Callithrix jacchus: one gene and its partners. The protein of the gene in region 4 purifies or fractionates together with the protein of the main gene of each other region. This does not show direct contact. Links are inferred from orthologs where the notes say so. Each region holds a gene or a part of one and is shown on either strand. Other genes may lie near its edges. The genes, in order: DDX23, TUT1, GPHN, PRPF4, CD2BP2 and SNU13.

The links.
Region 1: the proteins of PRPF4 (region 4) and DDX23 purify together in Homo sapiens (affinity purification with mass spectrometry; 4 studies listed by BioGRID and IntAct, counting the BioPlex papers as one, with this or other methods). This does not show direct contact. The link is inferred for Callithrix jacchus from reciprocal best matches to the Homo sapiens genes PRPF4 and DDX23.
Region 2: the proteins of PRPF4 (region 4) and TUT1 purify together in Homo sapiens (co-immunoprecipitation; 3 studies listed by BioGRID and IntAct, counting the BioPlex papers as one, with this or other methods). This does not show direct contact. The link is inferred for Callithrix jacchus from reciprocal best matches to the Homo sapiens genes PRPF4 and TUT1.
Region 3: the proteins of PRPF4 (region 4) and GPHN purify together in Homo sapiens (affinity purification with mass spectrometry; 3 studies listed by BioGRID and IntAct, counting the BioPlex papers as one, with this or other methods). This does not show direct contact. The link is inferred for Callithrix jacchus from reciprocal best matches to the Homo sapiens genes PRPF4 and GPHN.
Region 5: the proteins of PRPF4 (region 4) and CD2BP2 purify together in Homo sapiens (affinity purification with mass spectrometry; 3 studies listed by BioGRID and IntAct, with this or other methods). This does not show direct contact. The link is inferred for Callithrix jacchus from reciprocal best matches to the Homo sapiens genes PRPF4 and CD2BP2.
Region 6: the proteins of PRPF4 (region 4) and SNU13 purify together in Homo sapiens (affinity purification with mass spectrometry; 4 studies listed by BioGRID and IntAct, counting the BioPlex papers as one, with this or other methods). This does not show direct contact. The link is inferred for Callithrix jacchus from reciprocal best matches to the Homo sapiens genes PRPF4 and SNU13.

Annotation. Positions count from the first base shown.
Region 1 is NC_133510.1:70,720,723-70,724,810, forward strand, and holds the start of DDX23 (putative ATP-dependent RNA helicase DDX23), read left to right. Parts: upstream 1-1,288; 5' UTR 1,289-1,446; coding exon 1,447-1,614; intron 1,615-4,088. UniProt on the Homo sapiens protein: Involved in pre-mRNA splicing and its phosphorylated form (by SRPK2) is required for spliceosomal B complex formation.
Region 2 is NC_133511.1:119,859,982-119,863,988, reverse strand, and holds the start of TUT1 (speckle targeted PIP5K1A-regulated poly(A) polymerase), read left to right. Parts: upstream 1-1,207; 5' UTR 1,208-1,295; coding exon 1,296-1,377; exon of another isoform or gene 1,378-1,567; coding exon of another isoform or gene 1,568-1,583; intron 1,584-3,662; coding exon 3,663-3,853; intron 3,854-4,007. UniProt on the Homo sapiens protein: Poly(A) polymerase that creates the 3'-poly(A) tail of specific pre-mRNAs. Localizes to nuclear speckles together with PIP5K1A and mediates polyadenylation of a select set of mRNAs, such as HMOX1.
Region 3 is NC_133509.1:102,065,735-102,069,234, forward strand, and holds part of GPHN (gephyrin), read left to right. Parts: intron 1-825; coding exon 826-884; intron 885-2,044; coding exon 2,045-2,198; intron 2,199-3,500. UniProt on the Homo sapiens protein: Microtubule-associated protein involved in membrane protein-cytoskeleton interactions. It is thought to anchor the inhibitory glycine receptor (GLYR) to subsynaptic microtubules.
Region 4 is NC_133502.1:161,602,742-161,606,241, forward strand, and holds part of PRPF4 (U4/U6 small nuclear ribonucleoprotein Prp4), read left to right. Parts: intron 1-1,200; coding exon 1,201-1,323; intron 1,324-1,434; coding exon 1,435-1,542; intron 1,543-1,632; coding exon 1,633-1,751; intron 1,752-2,236; coding exon 2,237-2,430; 3' UTR 2,431-3,500. UniProt on the Homo sapiens protein: Plays a role in pre-mRNA splicing as component of the U4/U6-U5 tri-snRNP complex that is involved in spliceosome assembly, and as component of the precatalytic spliceosome (spliceosome B complex).
Region 5 is NC_133513.1:29,873,078-29,877,035, reverse strand, and holds the start of CD2BP2 (CD2 antigen cytoplasmic tail-binding protein 2), read left to right. Parts: upstream 1-1,158; 5' UTR 1,159-1,293; exon of another isoform or gene 1,294-1,400; intron 1,401-1,731; 5' UTR 1,732-1,758; coding exon 1,759-1,836; intron 1,837-2,428; coding exon 2,429-2,564; intron 2,565-2,690; coding exon 2,691-2,848; intron 2,849-2,950; coding exon 2,951-3,386; intron 3,387-3,465; coding exon 3,466-3,572; intron 3,573-3,657; coding exon 3,658-3,768; 3' UTR 3,769-3,958. UniProt on the Homo sapiens protein: Involved in pre-mRNA splicing as component of the U5 snRNP complex that is involved in spliceosome assembly.
Region 6 is NC_133502.1:190,083,628-190,087,529, forward strand, and holds the end of SNU13 (NHP2-like protein 1), read left to right. Parts: intron 1-2,147; coding exon 2,148-2,410; 3' UTR 2,411-3,402; downstream 3,403-3,902.

The DNA of each region.
Region 1 (4,088 bases), on a different chromosome or scaffold from region 4:
TGTTTATAAATGTAAAATTTTATTGTTTAGAATAGACAGGAAGTCTTGCTATATTATCCTGGCTGCTCTTGAGTTGAACTCCTGGGCTCAAGTGATCCTTCCTCCTCAGCCTCACAAGGTGCTGGAACTACAGGCATGAGCCACCAGGCCTGGCCATACAAATATGGTTTTCTTTCTCTCTCTATTTTTTTTTTTTTTTTTAGTGGGGGACTGAGTTTCACTCTTGTGCCCAGGCTGGAGTGCAATGGCTCTATCTCGGCTCACTGCAGCCTCTGCCTCCCGGGTTCAAGTGATTCTCCTGTCTCAGCCTCCTGAGTAGCTGGGATTATAGGCACAAGCTGTCATACCTGGCTAATTTTTTGTATTTTTGTAGAGATGGGGTTTCACTGTCTTGCCCAGGCTGGTCTTGAACTCCTGAGCTCAGGCAGTCCACCTGCCTCAGCCTCCCAAAGTGCTGGGATTACAGGCATGAGCCCCATGCCCGGCCACAGATGTTTTTAACTGTACTGTAGTTATGCAGTGGCTCACACCTGTAATACCAGCACTTTGGGAGGCAGAGGCAGAAGGATTGTTTGAGCCCTGGAGTTCAAGACTAGCCTGGGCAACAAATTGAGACTGTGTCTCTAATAAAAATTTAAAGAATTAGTTGGGGCTGGATGCAGTGGCTCATGTCTGTAATCCCAGCACTTTGGGAGGTTTAGGTGGGCGATTACCTGAGGTCAGGAGTTTGAGACCAGACTGGCCAACATGGTGAAACCACACCTCTACTAAAAATACAAAAATTAGCCAGACATGTTGGCACGTGCCTGTAATACCAGCTACTCGGGAGGCTGAGGAAGGAGAATCGCTTGAATCTGGGAGGTGGAGGTTGCGGTGAGCTGAGATCATGCTGTTTCACTCCAGCCTCCGTGACAGAGCAAGACTCTGTCTCAAAAAAAAAAAAAAATTAAGAGCCGGGTGAGGTAGTTTACACCTATAATCCCAGCAGTTTGGGAGGCCAAGGTGGGCGGATCATGAGGTCAAGAGATCGAGACCATCCTGGCCAACATGGTGAAACCCCGTCTCTACTAAAAATACAAAAATTAGCCGGGCATGGTGGCGCGCGCCTGTAGTCCCAGCTACTTGGGAGGCTGAGGCAGGAGAATTGCTTGAATCCAGGAGGCAGAGGTTGCAGTGAGCCAAGATCATGCGAGTGTACTCCAGCCTGGCACTTGGCAACTGAGTGAGACTCTGTCTCAAAAAAAAAAAAAAAAAAAAAAATTAGCCAGGCATGGCGGCACACTTCTGTAGTCCCAGCTACTTAGGACACCAAGGGAGGAGAATTGTTTGAACCCAGCAGGTGGAGATTGCAGTGAGCCAAGATCATACCACTGCATTCCAGCCTGGGCAGCAGAGTGAGACTCCATCTCAAAAAAAAAAAAAAAAAATAGTTGAGTGTGATAGCATATGCCTACAGTCCTGGCTACTTGGGAGGCTGAGGCAGGAGGATCGCTTGAGCCTGGGAAGTCAAGGCTGCAGTGTGCCATGATTGTGCCACTGCCCTCCAGCCTGGATGAGAGAGAGAGACCCTGTCTCAGCGACAACAACAACAACAAAACAGAACTGGTAAACATGGTAAGCTAGTTCCTGCTCCAGTTTCTTAGTACTCATATCTGTTCTATCTAATAAGGGTTTTATAGCCTGATCTTTTCATGGCTCTTTTTCCCATCATTCAAACTCAGCTTAAGAATCAATGAAAACTTCTTCCCTGAGCCACCTATCTCTTGTTCATATCCCTACCCATCGTATCACTGTGGTTTTTTGTTAGTTTGTTTTGAGACAGGATCTGGCTCTGTCACCCAGGCTAGAGAACAGTGGGGCAATCTTGGCTCACTGTAACCTCTGCCTCCTGGGTTCAAGTGATTCCCCTGCCTCAGCCTCCTAAGTACCTGGGATTACAGGCGCATGCCACCACGCCTGGCCAATTTTGTAGTTTTAGTAGAGATGGGGTTTCACCATGTTGGTCAGGCTGGTCCTGAACTCCTTTAGCCTCCCAAAGTGTTGGGATTACAGATGTCAGCCACGGCACTCAGTGCCTTTGTTTTCTTTACTGTTTTGTCTCCATTACCTATAATGATTTCTGGCACCTTTTAGGTGCTTGGTGAATATTTGTTGAAAGAATGAATGATATCCAGAATGCTGTACAGAGAAAGTAGCCTTCCTTTGGGATTGTTTTCTTAGGGCTATAACTGTTCTTTTTTTTTTTTTCTTTCTTTCTACTTTTTTTTGAGAGAGGGTTTTGCCTCATTGCCCAAGCTGGGGTGCAGTTGGCACAATCTTAGCTCACTGCAACTTCCACCTCCCAGGCCCTAGCAGTCTTTCTACCTCAGCCTCCTGAGTAGTGTGCGCCACCATGCCTGGCTAATTTTTTATATTTTTAGTAAAGATGGGTTTTTGGCATATTGCCCAGGTTGGTCTTCAACTCCTGGACAAGCGATCTGCCCACCTCAGCCTCCCAAAGTGCTGAGATTATAGGCATGAGACACCATACCTGGTCAAGACATAGGTATTTCTATGTGATGTACATGATGTACTGATACAGAACAGTCAGTCATTTCTCAGATGTTTGTGAGATAAAATGGGTCATCCTCATCTTTTAAAAGTGCTTCTTGTGAGGCCAGGTACGATGGCTCATGCCTGTAATCCCTGCAGTTTGGGAGGCCTACGTGGGTGGATCATGAGATCAGGAGTGCAAGACCAACCTGGCCAAGATGGTGAAACTACGTCTCTACTAAAAGTACAAAAATTAGCCGAGTATAGTGTCAGGTGCCTATAATCCCAACTACTTGGAGGTTAAGGCAGGAGAATTGCTTGAACCCAGAGGCTGAGATCGCACCATTGCACTCCAGCCTGGTGACAGAGCAAGACTCCATCTCAAAATAAAAAGGGGGGTGGGGGAAGTGCTTCTTGTTCTTTTTTTTTTTTTTTTGAGATGGAGTCTTGCTCTATTGCTAGGCTGGAGTGCAGTGGCACGATCTCTGGTCTCTGCCCTCCAGCTCCCAGGTTCAAGCGATTCTCCTGCCTCAGTCTCCCAAGTAGCTAGGACCACAGGGGCGTGCCACCACCCCTGGACAATTTTTTTTTTTTTTTTAATTTTTTATTGCATTTTAGGTTTTGGGGTACATGAGCAGAACATGCAAGACAGTTGCGTAGGTACACACATGGCAGTGTGTTTTGCTTCCTTTCTTCCCTTCACCCACATTTGGCATTTCTCCCCAGGTTATCCCTCCCCACCTCCCCTCCCACTGGTCCTCCCCTTTTCCCCCCAATAGACCCCAGTGTTTAGTACTCCCCTCCCTGTGTCCATGTGTTCTCATTCTTCATCACCTGCCTATGAGTGAAAATATGCGGTGTTTCATTTTCTGTTCTTGTGTCAGTTTGCTGAGGATGATGTTCTCCAGATTCATCCAGTCCCCACAAATGACACAAACTCATCATTCCTGATTGCTGCATAATATTCCATGGTGTATATGTGCCACATTTTTCCAATCCAGTCTATTATCAATGGGCATTTGGGTTGATTCCAGGTCTTTGCTATTGTAAACAGTGCTGCAATGAACATTCATGTACATGTGTCCTTATAGTAGAACAATTTATAGTCCTTTGGATATATACCCAGTAATGGGATTGCTGGGTCAAATGGAATTTCTATTTCTAAGGCCTTGAGGAATTGCCACACTGTCTTCCACAATGGTTGAACTAATTTACACTCCCACCAACTGTGTAAAAGTGTTCCTTTTTCTCCACATCCTCTCCAGCATCTGTTGTCTCCAGATTTTTTAATGGTTGCCATTCTAACTGGCGTGAGATGGTATTTCAATGTGGTTTTGATTTGCATCTCTCTGATGACCAGTGACGATAGAGCGCCGAATCCTAACCACTAGACCACCAGGGACAATTTTTGTATTTTTAGTAGAGACAGGGCATCATCATGTTGACCAGGATGATCTCGATCTCTTGACCTTGTGATCCTCCTGCCATGGCCTCCTAAAGTATTGGGATTACAGCCATGAGCCACCACGCCCGGCCTCTTGTTCATTTTTCTTTTC
Region 2 (4,007 bases), on a different chromosome or scaffold from region 4:
CTAGCTGTGTGGTGTTACTTGGCAGGTGAGAATTCTACCACTGAACACCTGAGCACCTCTGGGTGTATGTTTACAGCCTGCTTACTGCCTCAGGAGCCTCAAGGCCAGCCTTAGCAACTGCCTTGATATCCTGATTCACTGTAACACCATTTCCTGCTTTAAAGGTTTGGGACACTGAGATTAGATGCCTGAGTTGGGCCCATTAGAAGGAACACCTTAGGGGAGAGAACAAAAAGTTCAGCCTACTGTGTGCTCCTTGGGCACTTCCTTTAGAGATGGGGAACAGCCTCAGCACTTGCGACTTGCTCGCTGTCGCCTTAAGTCCATTTCTCTTTGCATCATTCAAAGCTGTGGGCTGATAACTACAGTACAAGCTGCCGAGCCCACATGATGGTCCTCTGCACCTTGTTATGGTCCCTGTCCCTAGGGCATCCCCAGCTCCCGTAGGTAGCCCCTCACTGTCCCGAGCCTTCATCTCAGCGGTGTTCGGAGGAACTGACAATTATACCTGCTGGGGTTCAACAGCATTTCTCCCCTCCAGTGTCTTTACTAGGTTACCAGCACTCGGTTTTGTCTTGTCGCACTGTCGCACTGCTCCGAGGTGCGACAGTGGCTCTGGCACCTCCGGAGTACACCACGCAGCCCAATACTGCGGAAGGAATGGTCCTGGCTCCCGGGACCTCATGGAGTCCGGAAGGTGCCCGATAGTGGCAGAGCTCCCTAACTAGGGCTAGAAGCAGTCGCAGAATACCCGTTTTGCGAGAGGACAATGGGAGGAAAGGGAGGGAGTACCAGCCCTGAAAAGATTGGAAGTCCAGGGACAGTCCTGGGCTCCGTGGGGCAAAGGACTGAAAGCCGCCGATCCTCCTCCGCCTTTATTCGTCGGGCAAATAAGGGTCGAAGGTAAGGAAGCACGAGTGTTTACTGCTGGGAGAAGGAGGGGCCGCGAGACACCACCCAGCGCCGGCCTTTGTGGCTGCTGTCATAAATATTTACGCCCTTTGGGCCAATCGGCGTCTGAACAGTTTAGAGCACACCAATCGGCTTACTGCATGCAGATAAGCATCGTAAGGCGCGGCTTTTCCCAAAATGGGCGGGGACTTGACACCGGCTAGAAACGGAACCCGGAGTAGCTGGAGCTTGGTTTCCGGAGGAGTTTGTCCGCGCAATTGGAAGACTTTTTGTCACTTCCTATCGGACGGGCGGAAGTTACTTCCGAGCGCGTTGAGCTTTGGAGAAGTGGGTTCTGGTGGTGGCAGAGGTGCTTGTGTATTTGTCGGTACAGGAGAGTCGCTATGGCGGCGGTGGATTCGGATGTCGAATCGCTGCCGCGTGGGGGTTTCCGCTGCTGCCTGTGCCACGTTACTACAGCCAACCGTAAGCGGTGGCTAGTGAGGGACCTGGGTGGTTACGGGCTTTAGTCTTTTGATCCTGGCGAAAGTTAGGGTTATAGGTCTTCGTTCCTGTCAAGTCGGTTGGTAGGGTCTCACCTCCGTTTTTACTCCGCAAGTTCGAGGGGATTTGGAGAGTCGAGAAAGTCCCACCACATTACACTCCTCCTCAGTATATGACATCTCCACGACGCAAGTTTCATTGTTTTATTCCTTCTTTAACCGTCATCTGTAGGACATATGCTCTGTGGCTGGTATTCTGCTGATCTTTAGGGTGGGGGAAGGGGGTTCAGAGATGGAGGGGCTCACCCTCTAGAGATGGAGAAAGTTTCAATGCTTTGTAGTTATGTTTGGAGAACTGTGGGACCACAGAGAATCGGTAACTAAGTCAGAGAAGCCCTACAGAGGACTTACTCAAAGGTGGGGACGGATGAAATAGGTGGCATGAATGACTAGACCATAAGGTACCAGTGAGAAAGAGACAGAAGATGGGTTTCGAAAAACAGACAAGGTTCTTGTATGACAGAGAAGGAGTTTATCAAAACCGCAAATTCCACTTTTTTTTTTTTTCCTTCTGAAACAGGCTCTTGCTCTGTCACCTAGGCTGCAGTGCAGTGTTGTGATCTTGGTTCACTGCAGCCTCAACCTCCCAGGCTCAAGCCATTCTCCTGGTTAGCCTCCCAAGTAGCTGGGTGGACAGGCGCGTACCACCACACCTGTCTAATTTTTTGTTTTTCTGTAGATACAGGGTTTTGCCATGTTATCTAGGCTGGTTTCCAACTCCTGGCCTCAAGTGATCTTCCCCTCTTGGCCTTCAAAGTACTGGGATTACAGGCGTGAACCAAAGTGCTGGCCCCACTTTTGAAGTCTGGAATCACAGTCTTCCCTGTGGGTCTACTTCCATTCTTCCTTTTCTCTGTGAATGGCACTATCACTGTTCATCCAATAGGCCAGGCCAGAAACCTAGGCGTCTTCCTTGGCCCCACATTTACTTTGACATCAAGCAGCTAACTCATAATAAAATAATAGCAATGGCTAGTTTTTTGACATTTACCATGTACGAGACTCTCCAAGTGATATATATGAATAATACCTGTGTGTTTGGTGCTAGGTACTTTTATTTCCATTTTATATCTGAGGAAGTAGGTGCACAGAGAGGCTTTGTAACTTGACCAAGATTTCATACAGCTTCACAGAGTTGGGACTTGAACTTGGGCAGTGTGATTTCAGATCCTGCCCTTGACATCACTATACCATACCATACCCAGAGATGACCCACGAAGTATTCCAGGATCCTAATACTTTTTGTTGTTGTTGTTGTTTTGAGATGGAGTCTTGCTCTGTCACCAGGCTGGAGTGCAGTGGCACGATCTTGGCTCTCTGCAACCTCCACCTCCCGGGTTCAAGCGATTCTTCTGCCTCAGCCTCCTGAGTAGCTGGGACTACAGGCACGTGCCACCACGCCCAGCTGATTTTTGTATTTTTAGTAGAGATGGGGTTTCACCATGTTGGCCAGGATGGTCTTGATCTCTTGACCTCGTAATCTGCCCGCCTAGGCCTCCCAAAGTGCTGGGAATACAGGTGTGAGCCACCGTGCCTGGCCTGAATCCTAGTATCTAGCTTTTCTGTGGATGACCTGGATAAGTTACCTGTTAATTTCTTTCCAACTCTACCTAGCACAAATAGGTGGTTTAAGCTATACTGTCGCACTGGTCTTTAAGTAAAAATTAAAAATAAAAGTAAACAAAATACTTGTGTAGCCAGTTCTCTTGGGAACCACTTAGAAAATGTACTATTTAGGCCAGGTGCGGTGGCTCATGCCTGTAATCCCAGCACTTTGGGAGGCTGAGACAGGCAGATCACTTGAGGTCAGGAGTTCAAGACCAGCCTGGCCAACATAGTGAAACCCTATCTTTACTAAAAATACAAAAATTAGCCGGGTATGGTAGCAGACGCCTGTAGTCCCAGCTACTCAGGAGGCTGAGGCAGGAGAATTTCTTGAACCTGGTAGGTGCAAGTTGCAGTGAACTGAGACTCTGCCACTGAACTTCAGCCTGGGTGACAGAGTGAGACTCTGTCTCAAAAATAAAAATAGAGAATGTATTATTTAGACAAAAGTATAAGAGAGGAAGGTGAAAGGAGCCAGGACTTTGCTTATTCAAAGGTCAGTTTCTGTGGCTTGGAAGGATCAGAGGATTAGGTATGCAGAGAGCAAGGGTAGACTCACTAAAGAGTGCTTTGGGAGTTTTTGTCTCACACTTGTCTTTGCAGGACCCAGCCTCGATGCCCACTTGGGAGGCAGAAAGCACCGGCACCTGGTAGAACTACGAGCTGCGAGAAAGGCCCAGGGACTTCGAAGTGTATTTGTCAGTGGCTTTCCCAGGGATGTGGATTCTGCCAAGCTCTCTGAGTACTTCCAAGCATTTGGACCTGTGGCCAGTATTGTCATGGATAAGGACAAGGTAAAGTGAATGGTTCCGGGGGTAAAGAATGAATCAGGGCTGGGTGTGGTGGCTCACTCCTGTAATCCCAGCAGTTTGGGAGGCCAAACAAGGTGGGCGGATCACCTGAGGTCAGGAGTTCGAGACCAGCCTGGCCAACCAACATGGTGGAACC
Region 3 (3,500 bases), on a different chromosome or scaffold from region 4:
GTTTAAAGATATATTTTAAAAGCTAAGGTTAAAAATAAACATATATTCTCCCAAGCTGAGAAGATAGTAAAATTTGTCCATGCCAAGAGACAGATGCTTTCCTTGATCTGAAGCTTTTCTTTTTAATCACCTTTCCACATACAAGACATAAAATTCAACTGTTGGGAAAGAGACCACATTGCCTGCTGTTAAAACTGTCTAAGCAGATTTATTGGCATCAGGGAAGCCCGCAGAGCATTGAAATCCAGAACACATGCATCCGTAGACTCTACCAGATGACAAGACACAGTTCCAATGTCACAGTATTATTCATAGCCCAAAAATGTAAAACTGATTATTGCCATTAATGTACAGAAATCTACTACCAGGCAAACTATAAGTCCTTTACTGAAATTTCTGCAGGTATTCGGTAACCTTGGCATGGTATTAAACTCATGATTCATGGGAAGAGAAGAAAGATATTATCTCCATGCACACTTCATTAGGGTAGCCATCTATATCCATCTACATATATATATAATATATAAATATATAAATTATATATATAATGTACTAGTTCAAATATTAAATCTTGCTTTACAATTGGTACATTTTTTAAAAACATAAAAATTAGAGCAAAAAAAATTTATTTATTGGTACTAAACCTTCTAATTTTTCAGGAACCTGGGTTAGAAATTCAGTGTTTTCAAAAGGTATAGCAAATAGTTTTTGGTTTCTCTATATTTGTGTATGTCCTAGGCCTATCTGATGGTAAAAGTATCTGAGTAGCTAAATTCTACTGCTCAGAAATTCTGTTTGAAATTACATAATCTGCTCTTATTATAGGGCACTGAAGAACTTGAAGTGCGAATTCTGGTGCAAGCTCGGCCAGGCCAAGATATCAGGTAACTTCAAAACACATACAATATATAGCCCACTTTTGTTTCTTTTTCTTTTTTTTTTACACCCATCTCTCTTCAGTCATTTATTTTATTTTATTTTATTTTATTTTTGGCTGGCTTTTGTTTCTACATGATCATTTATTTAGGAAACCCTGGGTACTAAATATGTTCCCATGTCAATTAGCCATTAATTTTCAGGGCTTTAACAAGAAGAAAAATGAATTCTGTTTCACATCTCTGCCCTACCTACTTTTTAATGAAGGACAGTAAAAGCAAGTTAGTCAAAGGCAAGATGAGAAAGAGGTAAAGTCACGAGCCTACATATTCTACAGTTAATTCTACTCCTAGATAATCCTGAATTACCCAATCCCATCCCTAAGTAATCCAGAATTTGGTATTAACTCAGATAATCCAAGAATTGGGTATTTACACAATTAACTTATAGCATATGCTCTACTGAGCACCAATAATACGGGAATAATCTACTCCTCTTTATATACAAAGAGGAGGCTATTGTCCTATAATAAATAGTGTGTATACCTTAAATTATTTTTCTTACAATGGAATATGTTTACCTTGATTCCATTAATACTAATTTGCTGAACGTCCCTTTGTAATGAAACTACACTTCTCCCATCCTTATGGCAGCACACCAAGGTGAATGTACCTCTGTGGCCACAGATCAGGACCGACCTACGTGGAAATTAGCTCTATGACCATAACCTCATTGGCATCATTCTCCTTGCTACAAAGCTAGCCAGCTGTGGACCTCTTATCATCAATGCTCCTAGATATTTTGATACAGATTCTTGCCTTATCAAAGAAAGTTTGCAATGGGTAGTTTTACTATAATGTAGCACAAAACAATTTGTAATTTTCTTCACAGGTACTCAAGAAAACAAAATTTCAAATATGAAGTAACAGGTTCTTCTTTAGCCGTAATATAATCCAATCCTATTTCTGTTTTCTGTTGTGTGATTCAACTTTTAAAATTAAAAAAGCATAGGATTTTTAGAATCCCTTCATTTCGTTATTTTCCTACTACTTTATTTCTTGACTTTTTTCTCCTCTTGAATGTCCTCCTTTTTTGACACTAAAGTTTCCCTCATTAGTTGAGAAAATGTTCTTAATCACACTGTTTATGGTTCTGCTTTGACTTTCAGACCCATCGGCCATGACATTAAAAGAGGGGAATGTGTTTTGGCCAAAGGAACCCACATGGGCCCCTCAGAGATTGGTCTTCTAGCAACTGTAGGTGTCACAGAGGTTGAAGTTAACAAGTTTCCAGTGGTTGCAGTCATGTCAACAGGGAATGAGGTATTAAAAATAAAAGTGGGGTGAGGGCCTGTAAGGTAAAGGTATTTCTGACATCTGTTTTGTGTTGTAAATAGAATGTTGTATATTATAGATCATACCAGTGGGTCCACATTCTTATAAGAGGGAACAATAAATTGGCCTTAGGATAGTTTCAAGTTCAGAATATGAGAACAAGGAAGAACCAGTAAAAAAAAATATGTATTATGAAATGTCCTCTTCTACTTACTAGAATGAAATATTATAACCAATGGCCTTTTCACATATTCAGTATACATAAACAAAGAATTTTAGCTGCTAGCTATAGATATTAAACTATGCAAACTCAGTACTTTGTCTGTTAAGACAATGAATTGTGCCCATCCTGCTGTTGAAATGATAGGCCACTTCTGTGTGGTAAGTATCAGTGAATCAGGACATCATGGCTAGCACTTCTTGTGAAAAGTTCCATGTAATCTTTAATCACCAAGAGGGACTTGATAATCAGGTTTTTTTTTTTTTTCTCTCTCTCTCTCTCTCTCTACAGCATCTCTAGTGGCATGGTATTCAGAATAGGTTGAAATGTCATTTCATTCCTGATTTAGAAAAGAGAATTTAGTCCATCTCTTTCTGAGAACTCTTGAAAAACTTCCTATTGCCTGTTTTGCTTAGGTTGTGCAAAACTTCAGTCAGAAACTCTAAGGTCAAATGGAGAATATTAAAAAGTGAATCTGCTGGAAACTCAAAACCTTATAGAAGAATCAGAAACTATTGAGATTTTTTAAAGTATTAATAATTCCTCTGACCTTACTATTAAAGAAAAATTAATGGTATATTTTAAAATCTCTTTGTTCTGAAAATAAACCCATCATTATTTTTAATTTCTTGAAGTCTTGGAAATGAAAATTTTCAAAGGTCATTTTAGGACCTTATAGTTCTTTTGGTTGGAGCAAAACAATGGACTATTTTATTTTGCTAATGGAGAGCTAAATCAGCATTCCAGATGTGCTTACTTCCCAGGATACATGTACTAGTCATTTCTAAAAATTATCAGTTGACAGAAAACAAACATTCTTTTTAATTTGATCTACACAGTGATGATTTTAATATCCTTAGGACCAAATAACATTATATTTAGCATCAGAAATAAATTTCTGTTAAACTGGCTAACTCATTGAACCATTCTCTTTTATGATTTACTTACATGCTTTGTACATCAAGTAAGTTCATGGAGTTTGAGAAAGCAAAACAGAATTAGCACACTCATGGCCCAGGCATGGTGCCTTATACTTGTAATTCCAACACTTCAGGAGGATCAGTTGAGAC
Region 4 (3,500 bases):
TAATTGCTGGGGGTTATTATTTGCGTGACTGTACCATAGTTTATCCATTCTCCTGTTGATGGACACTTGGGCTGTTTCCAGGTTTGGGCCAGTCAGAATGCAGCTGCTATAAATATTCTTGTACCGGGCTTTTTGCGGACATGAGAACAATTGCTGGGTCACAGGGTAGAGGCCTTAGGTGTATATTTAACTTTTTCTAAACTCCCCTCCAGTTTTCCAAAACAGTTACACCATTTTACATTCCCAGAATTCTGGTTATTTCACGTCCCTGTTAACATTTGGTGTCGTCAGTCTTACTGCTTCTCCCCATCTAGCAGGTGTGTAGTGAAACCCCATGGTTTTCATTCTTAAGACCCTGATCACTGTTGCTGTTGAGTACTTTGCCTGGTTTTTTTAATTGAGTTTGTCTCTTTTGTCTTTATCTCCATGTCCATAGTCAATTCTGCCAATGTGTATTGAAGAGACTTTCCTTTGTCTGTTGGAATTGTTTTAATACCCTTACTGAAAATCATCTGACCATACATGTGTGGGTTATGAGCGATTTGTATATCCCCAACATCCAATTTAGGGCCCAGTAAATGTATAAATGCTTGAGGAATGAAAGAACGTAACAGTGGAGGAAGAAAGAAGGCAACAGAGTCTTTTCTGGGCCATTCTTGGGGAATCCTGTTATTAAAATAGCCACTAGGTTGTACATGATGGCTCATACCTGTAATCCCAGCACTTTGGAAGGCCAAGGTGGGCAGATCACCTGAGCTCAGGAGTTCGAGACCAGCCTGGCCAACATGGTGAAACTCTATTTCTACAAAAAAAAAAACACAAAAATTAGCCGGGCATGATGGTGCACGCCTGTAGTCCCAGCTACTCAGGAGGCTGAGGCAGGAGAATGGCTTAAACCCAGGAGATGGAGGTTGCAGTGAGCCGAGATTGCATCACTGCACTCCAGCCTGGGCGACGGAGTGAGACTCTGTCTCAAAAAAAATTAGGCATTAGAGGTTTACAGCTATTCCACGGTTCTCAGTTAGCACCTAAGACAGATAAGCTTAGTTGTTGAGTTATTATTTATGTCAGAAAGGAGCTTCCTGTTATATGTTTCTATGAGTAGTTCAGAAGCATTAATAACTTAAGCTATGATGACTTATGTGTTGTAGAAACTGAATAAATACCAGCTGGTTGATTGTTAGTGTGATTTCATTTTAGCTATGACCGTTCATGGCGCTTATGGGATTTGGAGGCTCAAGAGGAGATCCTGCATCAGGAGGGCCACAGCATGGGTGTGTATGACATTGCCTTCCATCAAGATGGCTCTTTGGCTGGCACTGGGTAAGGCTTCTCCCATATAGCCAGGGGCAGTTCAGTACTCTCACCTCTTGTGTATGTCTCCTTCCACAGAGAACTGGATTCACAGTGTTCATTTGTAAATTATTTTATCAGGGGACTGGATGCATTTGGTCGAGTTTGGGACCTACGCACGGGACGTTGCATCATGTTCTTAGAAGGCCACCTGAAAGAAATCTATGGAATAAATTTCTCCCCCAATGGGTAAAATAAACACAGTGAATGAGGGGTGAAAAAGGGTTCTTGGTCAGAAAGCACTGTACTTCTAACTTCAATACTGCATCCAATCCACAGCTATCACATCGCAACCGGCAGCGGTGACAACACCTGCAAAGTGTGGGACCTTCGACAGCGGCGTTGCGTCTACACCATCCCTGCTCATCAGAACTTAGTGACTGGTGTCAAGTTTGAGCGTAAGCCTTCCTCCTGGTTTAGATCTAAATGACACAGGCAAACAGGATGTGTTTCTCTGGAATGCAGGCCAGGCTTTAGCTTAACTGAGAAGTAGAACAGGAGAGCATATGACCACAGTTAAAGGAACAAATTCTAATTTCCTTCCCCCTGCCATGCCTTAGATCTGTGGAGAAGCATGCTGTGAGTGCTTTGCTTCATTCTTTCCTCTATGGATGTTCTGAGCACTGAGTCCTTAATATTATTCTGAACAGATTCTCTGTCAGGGAATGCGCCAAAAGACCTTAGTGTTATTTGGTCCCTTAAGTCCACCTGGGGTTATCCCCTTTACCCGGAGGCCTCGTAGGAAGATAGCATCAGTGTTGATTTTTTTCTGAATGTAGAAATACGTTTTTTTTAAATTGCATGTTTTTGCAGACATTTGTGATTTTGTTATCTTCTGCTCTTTTGAATAAAGTCCTCAAGCAATTCCCCTTTTCTTCTGTAGCTATCCATGGGAACTTCTTGCTTACTGGTGCCTATGACAACACAGCCAAGATCTGGACGCACCCAGGCTGGTCCCCGCTGAAGACTCTGGCTGGCCACGAAGGCAAAGTGATGGGCCTAGATATTTCTTCCGATGGGCAGCTCATAGCCACTTGCTCATATGACAGGACCTTCAAGCTCTGGATGGCTGAATAGACAAGACAATGGAAAAAGGACTTGAACCTCAAGCTGTCTCTAAGGAGCTATTTCCTCAAAAGAGAAGAATTCAAGTGTTTAGTTATACCATGTTTTCTGCCAATTACCATGTGTAGACCCTCAGTAGAATTGGATTTCCATGTCAGCCCCCACTCCAGGCAGGCAGCCCAGTCCCTAGGTGATGGTGAACCCCTCTCATGGTTGAAAATTTATTTCTCCTTTTTACACCCTGCCACAAACTGTGTAGACATTGTTTTCATTTATCTTTTGTTTGGCCGGGAGTGGTGGCTCAAACCTGTAATCCTAGTACTTTGGGAGGCCAAGGCAAGCAGACTACTTGAGGTCAGGAGTTCAAGACTAGCCTGGGCAACATAGCAAAACGCCATCTCTACTAAAAAATTAGCCGGGCGTGGTGGCTTGTGCCTATGGTCCCAGCTACTCAGGAGACTGAGGTGGGAGGATCACTTAAGCCTGGAAGACGGAGGTTGCAGTGAGGTGAGATCACACCAATGCACTGTAGCCTGTGTGACAGAGAGACCCTGTCTCTTAAAAAATATATATATACTTTGTTTGAATGCCTTATAGCCTTCCTCACAGCACTCAGGATTGTGACTGACTCTGCATTTTTAATTCTTGAAACTTGGTTTTCCATAACATGGTACATGCTTCAGGACTGCATGTGACCCAGAGAGCGAGGTGGCTGAACTAGATAGAGTCTGGCAGCCCTCGGGTAAAGAGGCACCTCTCACCACTCCTTGGTTAAAGAGTGCGTAACAGCGAGCACTTTTCCTTTCCTTGAGAATAGGAGGTGAAGCAGTAGACTGCAGCTCCCCCGATGGTTATGCTGCGAAAAAGACTGACCTCTTCCTGTTGTGTTTGCTTGGAATGCTGACTGCATCAGGAAACTGAACTGAACATCTGCTTTGTCAGAAAATATCTTTTACTTTACTTTGAAGTTTGGCAATCTTCATGTTAACTTAAAGCAAACCCATTGTGTCAGGATTCAAACAAACGTTTAGAAAGCAAACATGACGTCTCTATTGTACAACCTCCTTTCTGTTGGTTATTTA
Region 5 (3,958 bases), on a different chromosome or scaffold from region 4:
CGCCTTCCGGGTTCAAGCAATTCTCCTGTCTTAGCCTCCCGAGTAGCTGGGATTACAGGCTCATGCCGCCATGTCCGGCTAAATTTTTGTATTTTTAGTAGAGACGGGTTTCACCGTATTCCCCAGGCTGGTCTTGAACTCCTGAGCTCAGGCAATCCACCCGCCTCGGCCTCTCAAAGCGCTAGGATCACAGGCGTGTGCCACCGTGCCCAGCCCGAAAGCAGGATTCCTTTTTTTTTTTTTTTTGAGGTTGCCCAGGCTGGAGTGCAGTGGCGCAATCTCGGCTCACCGCATGCAACCTCCGCCTCCCGGGTGCTTGCAATTCTCCTGCCTCAGCCTCCCGAGTAGCTGGGACTAGAGGCGTATGCCGCCACGCCCGGCTAATTTTTTTGTAGTTTAGGAGAGACGAGGTTTCTTTTCTTTTCTTTTTTCTTTTGAGACGGAGTTTCGCTCTTGTTACCCAGGCTGGAGTGCAGTGGCGCGATCTTGGCTCACCGCAACCTCCGCCTCCTGGGTTCAAGCAATTCTCCCGCCTCAGCCTCCCGAGTAGCTGGGACTACAGCCGCGCACCACCATGCCCAGCTAATTTTTTGTGTATTTTTAGTAGAGACGGGGTTTCACCATGTTGACCAGGATGGTCTCGATCTCTTGACCTCGTGATCCACCCGCCTCGGCCTCCCAAAGTGCTGGGATTACAGGCGTGAGCCACGGCGCCCGGCCGAAGGCAGGATTTCTAGCGACACGGTAGGGGCGCAGAACCCTTCCCTGGGGGAAGGGTTACTCGAACCCAGGACAGGAAGACAAGAAAGCAATCCAGTGGCTCTGCTCAGACTTTGCTCCTAAATCCTGACACTGAGCGACCCTTTAAGTAGATGCGCTCCACTTTTTCTCCAGAGCCTCTACGGCTCAATGAGAGAATCAAAGCTACTTCCGGCCATTTCTCACGCCGGGTTAGAGTCTAGGAATTCTTAAGTCTCCTCTTTTCGCCACTTTCCTCCCACGCGACTGACGTCACTTCTGGCGTAAGAAAGGGTGGAGGTGTCTTCCCTCGCTCATCGCGTACTTCCGCCCGCTCTTCCAGTTGGTCCTCTGGCCGGAGTGAAGCCACTTCCGGCCTCCCCGGCGCATTCCTCAGTCCTCTTCCGGGTGATGGCGGCCGGGTGCCCCGGATGTAGCCCTGGCGCAAGCATCTCTTCTTTGCCGCCTCACCTCCAGCGGATCCCCAGGTGAGCGCGCGAGCGTGGGACCATCCGAATCCCCGTGGCCCTCTACTTTGTACGCAGCCCGGGACAGGTGGAGCTCACCACACGGAATTGGGAGTTCGGAGCAGGGAGGAACGGGGCGGCGAGGGCGCCAGGTCCTGGGTCCGCCCGGGCCCCGCGAGCTCCGAGAGAGCCTGGGTAGGAGGCGGGGGTCAGCCCGTCGAGCCTGGTGGTACCCAGACTGCGGGGGCTGGGTTTGGAGGTGGTCACATGGTGGAGCCTGTCTCCTTTTGGCCGGGGTCGGGGGATCCAGAGGGATTGCCCCTCCGTCCCCGCCCCATTTAATTCGAGGATGCCAGACCGAGTACCAGAGGCCTTCTGGCTTCCAGCTCCCTTTCCGCCCCTGCTTTTGTGCTCCCTTCCCTCTCAAACTGTACTTGTCACCAAGAAAAATGTTTGCTGTGCCGGGAATCCTCTGGCGGCGAGTCCCCTCCTCACCCCGTTCTCTTCCTCTGCATACTTTCCTCAGCTTGAGGAACACCTTCTCTGCCCTGTCATGCCAAAGAGGAAAGTGACCTTCCAAGGCGTGGGAGATGAAGAGGACGAGGATGATATCAGTGTCCCCAAGAAGAAGGTGAGGGGACCAAACTTCTTTGTGTGGGGGGAAAGAGAGGAGCTAGAAGCCTGAGGAGGAAGAAAGTTGGGAGGGGCAAGGCGGGCTGGCAGAGAAAAGCCTAGTTTTTCCAGGTTCACTGAGGAATGGATTGGGAGCATCTTCAGTGTGGGTCCTGAAATATTTGGGGAAGTAGGGCTGGGCACGGTGGCCCACGCTTGTAATCCCAGCACTTTGGAAGGCCAAGGCAGGCAGATCACCTGAGGTCGGGAGTTGAAGACCAGCCTGGCTAACCTGGTGAAACCCCATTTCTACTAAAAGTACTAAAAATTAGCCGGGTGGTGGTGGGCACCTGTCCCAATTAGTTGGGAGGCTGATGTGGGGGAATCCCTTGAACACAGGAGCCGGAGGTTGCAGTGAGCTGAGATCAGCCATTGCACTCCAGCTTGGGCAACAAGAGTGAACTCTGTCTCAAAGAAAAAAAAAAAAAGAAATATCTAGGGAAGCAGTTGAGATCCTGAAATATTTGGGGAGTATTTGGGTCCAGATCTGGCAGTATTTGGGGAGGTAGCCAGTAACCTGCATTTCTTGACTTCCTGGCTCCTGCTCACAGCTGGTGGACCCTGTGGCTGGGTCAGGGGGTCCTGGGAGCCGCTTCAAAGGCAAACACTCTTTGGACAGCGATGAGGAGGATGATGACGATGGGGGGTCCAGCAAATATGACATCTTGTCCTCAGAGGATGTAGAAGGTGAGCTGTACTCAAGAATACACTCTACTGAAGGAAAAAGTAGAGACCTCTGGTGGTGTGAGGTGAGGGAGGCCCCGGTCTCTTTTTTTTCATCCCCAGCAAAGGACACCCCTGTCTTTGGTGCAGGTCAGGAGGCAGCCACACTCCCCAGCGAGGGGGGTGTGCGGATCACACCTTTTAACCTGCAGGAGGAGATGGAGGAAGGCCATTTCGATGCCGATGGCAACTACTTCCTGAACCGGGATGCTCAGATCCGAGACAGCTGGCTGGACAACATTGACTGGGTGTGGCCAAGGGGCTGGCATGGCTGGGGCCAGGGAGTGGCAGAGCTGCTGCCTGCTCCCGTGGCAGTTTGTGGGAAATCACTCCCCTTCTTCCCATTACAGGTGAAGATCCGGGAGCGGCCACCTGGCCAGCGCCAGACCTCAGACTCGGAGGAGGAGGATGGCTTGGGCCAGACCCCAATGAGTGCCCAAGCTCTCTTGGAGGGACTTTTGGAGCTCCTGTTGCCTAGAGAAACAGTGGCTGGGGCACTGAGGCGTCTGGGGGCCCGAGGAGGAGGCAAAGGGAGCAGCAAGGGGCCCGGACGACCCAATTCCCCACAGCGCCTGGACCGGCTCTCTGGGTTGGCCGACCAGATGGTGGCCCGGGGCAACCTTGGCGTGTACCAGGAAACTCGGGAACGGTTGGCCATGAGGCTGAAGGGTTTGGGGTGCCAGACCCTGGGACCCCACAATCCCACACCCCCACCCTCCCTGGACATGTTTGCTGAGGAAGTGGCGGAGGGGGAACTGGAGACCCCAACCCCTACCCAGAAAGGAGGTGAGCTTGGAGGACACAGGAGGAGGCACTGGGCAGGAGGCAGACACTGGAGGCCAAATGGCTTTGCCTGTTATTTTAGAAGCAGAGTCGCCGGGAGATGGTCTGGTGGATGTGATGTGGGAATATAAGTGGGAGAACACAGGGGATGCCGAGCTGTATGGACCCTTCACCAGCGCCCAGATGCAGGTGAGCCGCTTTCTTCCTCCTTCTGCCTTGTCCCTGCTTCCCCAACTCCTGTCAGTCCTTCCCCAGCTCTGCCCTCTCCTTGCAGACCTGGGTGAGCGAAGGCTACTTCCCGGACGGTGTTTATTGCCGGAAGTTGGACCCCCCTGGTGGTCAGTTCTACAACTCCAAACGCATTGACTTTGACCTCTATACCTGAGCCTGCTGGGGGCCCAGTTTGGTGGGCCCTTCTTTCCTGGACTTTGTGGAGGAGACCCCCAAGTGTCTCAGGCAGTGAGGAAATTGGAGGCCATTTTTCAGTCAATTTCCCTTTTCCAATAAAAGCCTTTAGTTGTGTATTAGGGCCTTCGCTGTGCTGATGGCCGGAAGCCAGAGGTCTTCTCCACAGC
Region 6 (3,902 bases), about 28 Mb from region 4:
ACCTCAGGTAGATGAGGACTCATGGACACAGAGCAAGCTTATTTCCTCTTGCCGCACTTTGCATGGTGCTAGGCACGCAGGTGCTGAGGACAGACAGGTCCTTGAATGGAGATGCTCAGGCTCAAGACTTCAATTCAGAATGTGCTTACTAGGAGTTCAGGGAGAAAGAGGCAACAATTTTTTATACCTCTGCCTCAGTGTCAAGTATTCTTTCTTCCCTTATTTATTGGCTGCCTACTGTGTGCCAGGCACATGTGTATATGCTGATGATGCATTGGTGAACAAAACGAAGTCTCTGCCTTCTTGGAGTGTACATTTCAGTGGAGAAAGACATAGGTTTTATGTCTGGTGGTAAAGAATGCTGTAAAAGAGAATAAAATAGAGAAGGGGGATACAAATGGCAGTGGTAAGGTCTTTCTAAGTAAAGTATTCAGAGAAGGTTTGTCTGAGGAGTTGAAGTTTGAGCAGAGAACAAATAGGGGTATTGGGAAGAAACATTTTTGGGCGTGGTGCAAAGGCGTGCTTGAGAGATTCTAAGGAGGCTGGCGTGTGGCTGGAATGAAGTGAGGGGTGAGAGGTGCTAGGAGATCGCATGAGACCTAGTAGGCCATTGTTAGCAGTTTACATTTTTCTGTGAGTACAATGGGAAATGAGTAGAAAGATTTTGAACATGCTTTGCAGTTTCCATGTGTCAGCCATTTTTATTTATTATTATTATTTTTTTGAGACAGTCTCACTCTGTAGCCCAGGCTGGAGTGCGGTGGCATCATCAGGGCTCGCTGCAGCCATGACCTCCTGGGCTTAGGTGATCCTCCCACCTCAGCCTCCCAGGTAGCTGGAACTACAGGTACACACCACCACACCTGGCTGACTTTTTATATTTTAGTGGAGATGGGGTTTTGCCATGTTGCCCAGGATGGTCTCAAACTTCTGGGTTCAAACAGTCTGCCTGCCTCGGCTTCACAAACTGCTGGGATTATAGGTACAAGCCACTGTGCCCAGCCTCATCATTCTTATTAACTTTTTTTTTTTTTTAAGATGGGGTGTCACCATGATGGCCAGGCTGGTCTTGAACTCCTGACCTCAGGTGATCCCACCTCGGCCTCCCACAGCACCCGGCCCCATTCTTATTAACTTGTTTAATCCTTTAAAGAATCCTATTAGGTAGAATTATTGTACTGTGTTACTTTATAGATGATAAATGTAAGGGAAGTTAAATACCTTGCTAAAAGTCGTTTGTGAAACGACAATGAGTGCTCTCATTTGCACTCAGGCAGTGTAGCTCTAGAGTGTGTGCCCTTGTCGAGTACTCCGGCATGAATGCAGCGTATTCGGACTGAGCCACAGAGGCAAGCCATCAGGATAGTAGGCATCTGAAATGGTGCTGTGGGTTGTTGAACTTGCATGGTGAGTCACGTGTTGGGTGAGCTTCCTAGAAGTATTGATTATGGCAGATTGAGATAGTAAAACTCTGACTCTTGGTCACACATACCTTGAGAAATACTGTATTATTAATATACTAATTCTTGCTGGTGGGGTTTGTGAAAGCTGTTGCAGCTGACAAGGTAAGAGATGATGGTGACTTGGACAAGTGTAGCAGAGGAGTAGAAAGAAGTGGTCAGATTAGGCCGGGCACAGTGGCCTAAGCTTGTAAGCTCAGCACTTTGGGAGGTCGAGGTGGGTGTATCACTTGAGGTCAGGAATTCTGGACAACATGGTGAAACCTTGTCTCTACTAAAAATACAAAAATTAGCCAGGCACAGTGGCACTTGCCTGTAATTCCAACTACTTGAGAGGCTGAGGCAGGAGAATCACTTAAACCCAGGAGGTGGAGGTTGAAATGAGCTGAGATTGCGCCTCTGCACTCCAACTGGAAAAGAGCAAGACTCCGTCTCAAAAAAATAAAAGGAAGAAGTGATGAGATTCAGGACGTGTTTTGAAGATAAGTGGTGGGTTTAATGCAGGGTTTCAGCAGAGGCCATTGTGTTGAATCTTTTGTCATATCCCAGGGCCGCTCTCATAATTATATGTGCCTAGGCATTTTGCCCAGTTTTCTTGTACCTGTAATTTTTTCTGGAAATTGCTTTGTTGTGGCTGCCCTGCCCAAGCCCACATCACCTATTAGTTTCACACCCTTCTCTCCACAGCCACCAAAACCCTCAACAGGGGCATCTCTGAGTTCATTGTGATGGCTGCAGATGCTGAGCCACTGGAGATCATTCTGCACCTCCCGCTGCTGTGCGAAGACAAGAACGTGCCCTATGTGTTTGTGCGCTCCAAGCAGGCCCTGGGGAGAGCCTGTGGGGTCTCCAGGCCTGTCATCGCCTGTTCCGTCACCATCAAAGAAGGCTCACAGCTGAAACAGCAGATTCAATCCATTCAGCAGTCCATTGAAAGGCTCTTGGTCTAAACCTGTGGCCTCTGCCACGTGCTCCCTGCCAAATTCTCCCCCGAGGTTGTGTATCATATTGTTTGTGTTAGCATGTAGTAGTTTCAGCTATTCTCTATTGTTATAAAATGTTGTAGTACTAAATCTGGTTTCTGGATTTGTGTGGTGTTTTTGTTCTGTTTTATAGGGTTGTTTTCCCCCTTCCTTTCCTCCCTCTCTCTGCCATCCTTCATCCTTTTATCCTCCCTTTTGAAAAACGAACAAATGTTCAGAACAGGCTGAAGCAGGACGGTGGCACCATTCAAAGGCACAAAGAGTCAGGAGAAAGCTGATGGAACTAGGATAGAGACCTAGTTCCTGGCTTTTAGCCACTAGCTTCCTATTGTGTGCAGAGTATGGTGGAATTAAATACCATTCATTGTGTATCCCTTGTGCCTGGCACACGGAATCATTCATACCTGTTAAAGTGATCAAGAAGTTTTCTTTGTTCTTGGGGCATTATGTATCATTTGGGGAGGAAGCATGTGTTCTGTGAGGTAGTTAGGCTATGTCCAAGTATCATTTACTAATGTACCCCTGCTGTTTGCTTTTGATAATGTGATTGATGTTGATGTTCTCCCCCAACCCCCAACCATGCCCTTGAGGGTGGCAGGGCAGCAGCATACCAAAGAGATGTGCTGCAGGATTCCAGAGGTGACCTGGGTGAGTGAGCCATGAGGCAGTCGACCTAGGTCTCGAAAGTGTCAGGAGTGGCAAGGGCAGAGAACATGAACTGGATTCCTGGAAGACCATGAAGACCTGGCTGGTAGCTGCAGCAGAGACGATGGAATCTAAGGAAACAACCTTCCTCTGGTGAATGGGACTTTCTTTGGTGGACAGTTGGCACCAGCTCTGAGAGCCCTTCCCCTGTGTTGTGCCACAGTGTGGGTCAGATGTACTCTTTATCACACTAGTGCTGGTTCATGTGTTCTTCTGTGAGCATCCTAATAAAAAAATAAATTCCATTTTCATGAGAGAATGGCAATGCCTGATTCTTAGTAGGTATCCAGCTCATACTGGAATGAAGACATAGCATTACTAGACTGGTGATAGGTGCTTTTCTTCTTCCAGAAAGAGTTTCGCTCTTGTTGCCTAGGCTGGAGTGCAATGGCATGATCTCTCGGCTCACTGTGGCCTCTGCCTCCTGGGTTCAAACGACTCTCCTATCTCAGCCTGCCAAGTAGCTGGGATTATAGGCATGCACCATGACGCCTGGCTGATTTTTTGTATTTTTAGTAAAGATGGGACCATGTTGGACATGCTAGTCTTGAACTCCTGACCGCAGGTGATCCACCATCTCAGCCTCACAAAGTGTTGGGATTACAGGTGTAAGCCACCATACCTTACCAGCTGCTTAAGACATTTTTACCAGAAGGCTATGAAAGAGCTGTTTCCTCCTACCAGGTAGTTTCTGTCTTGGCAGTTCAAAACATCATCTTATACAGACTCAATTGGAGCATTGCTATCACTGGAG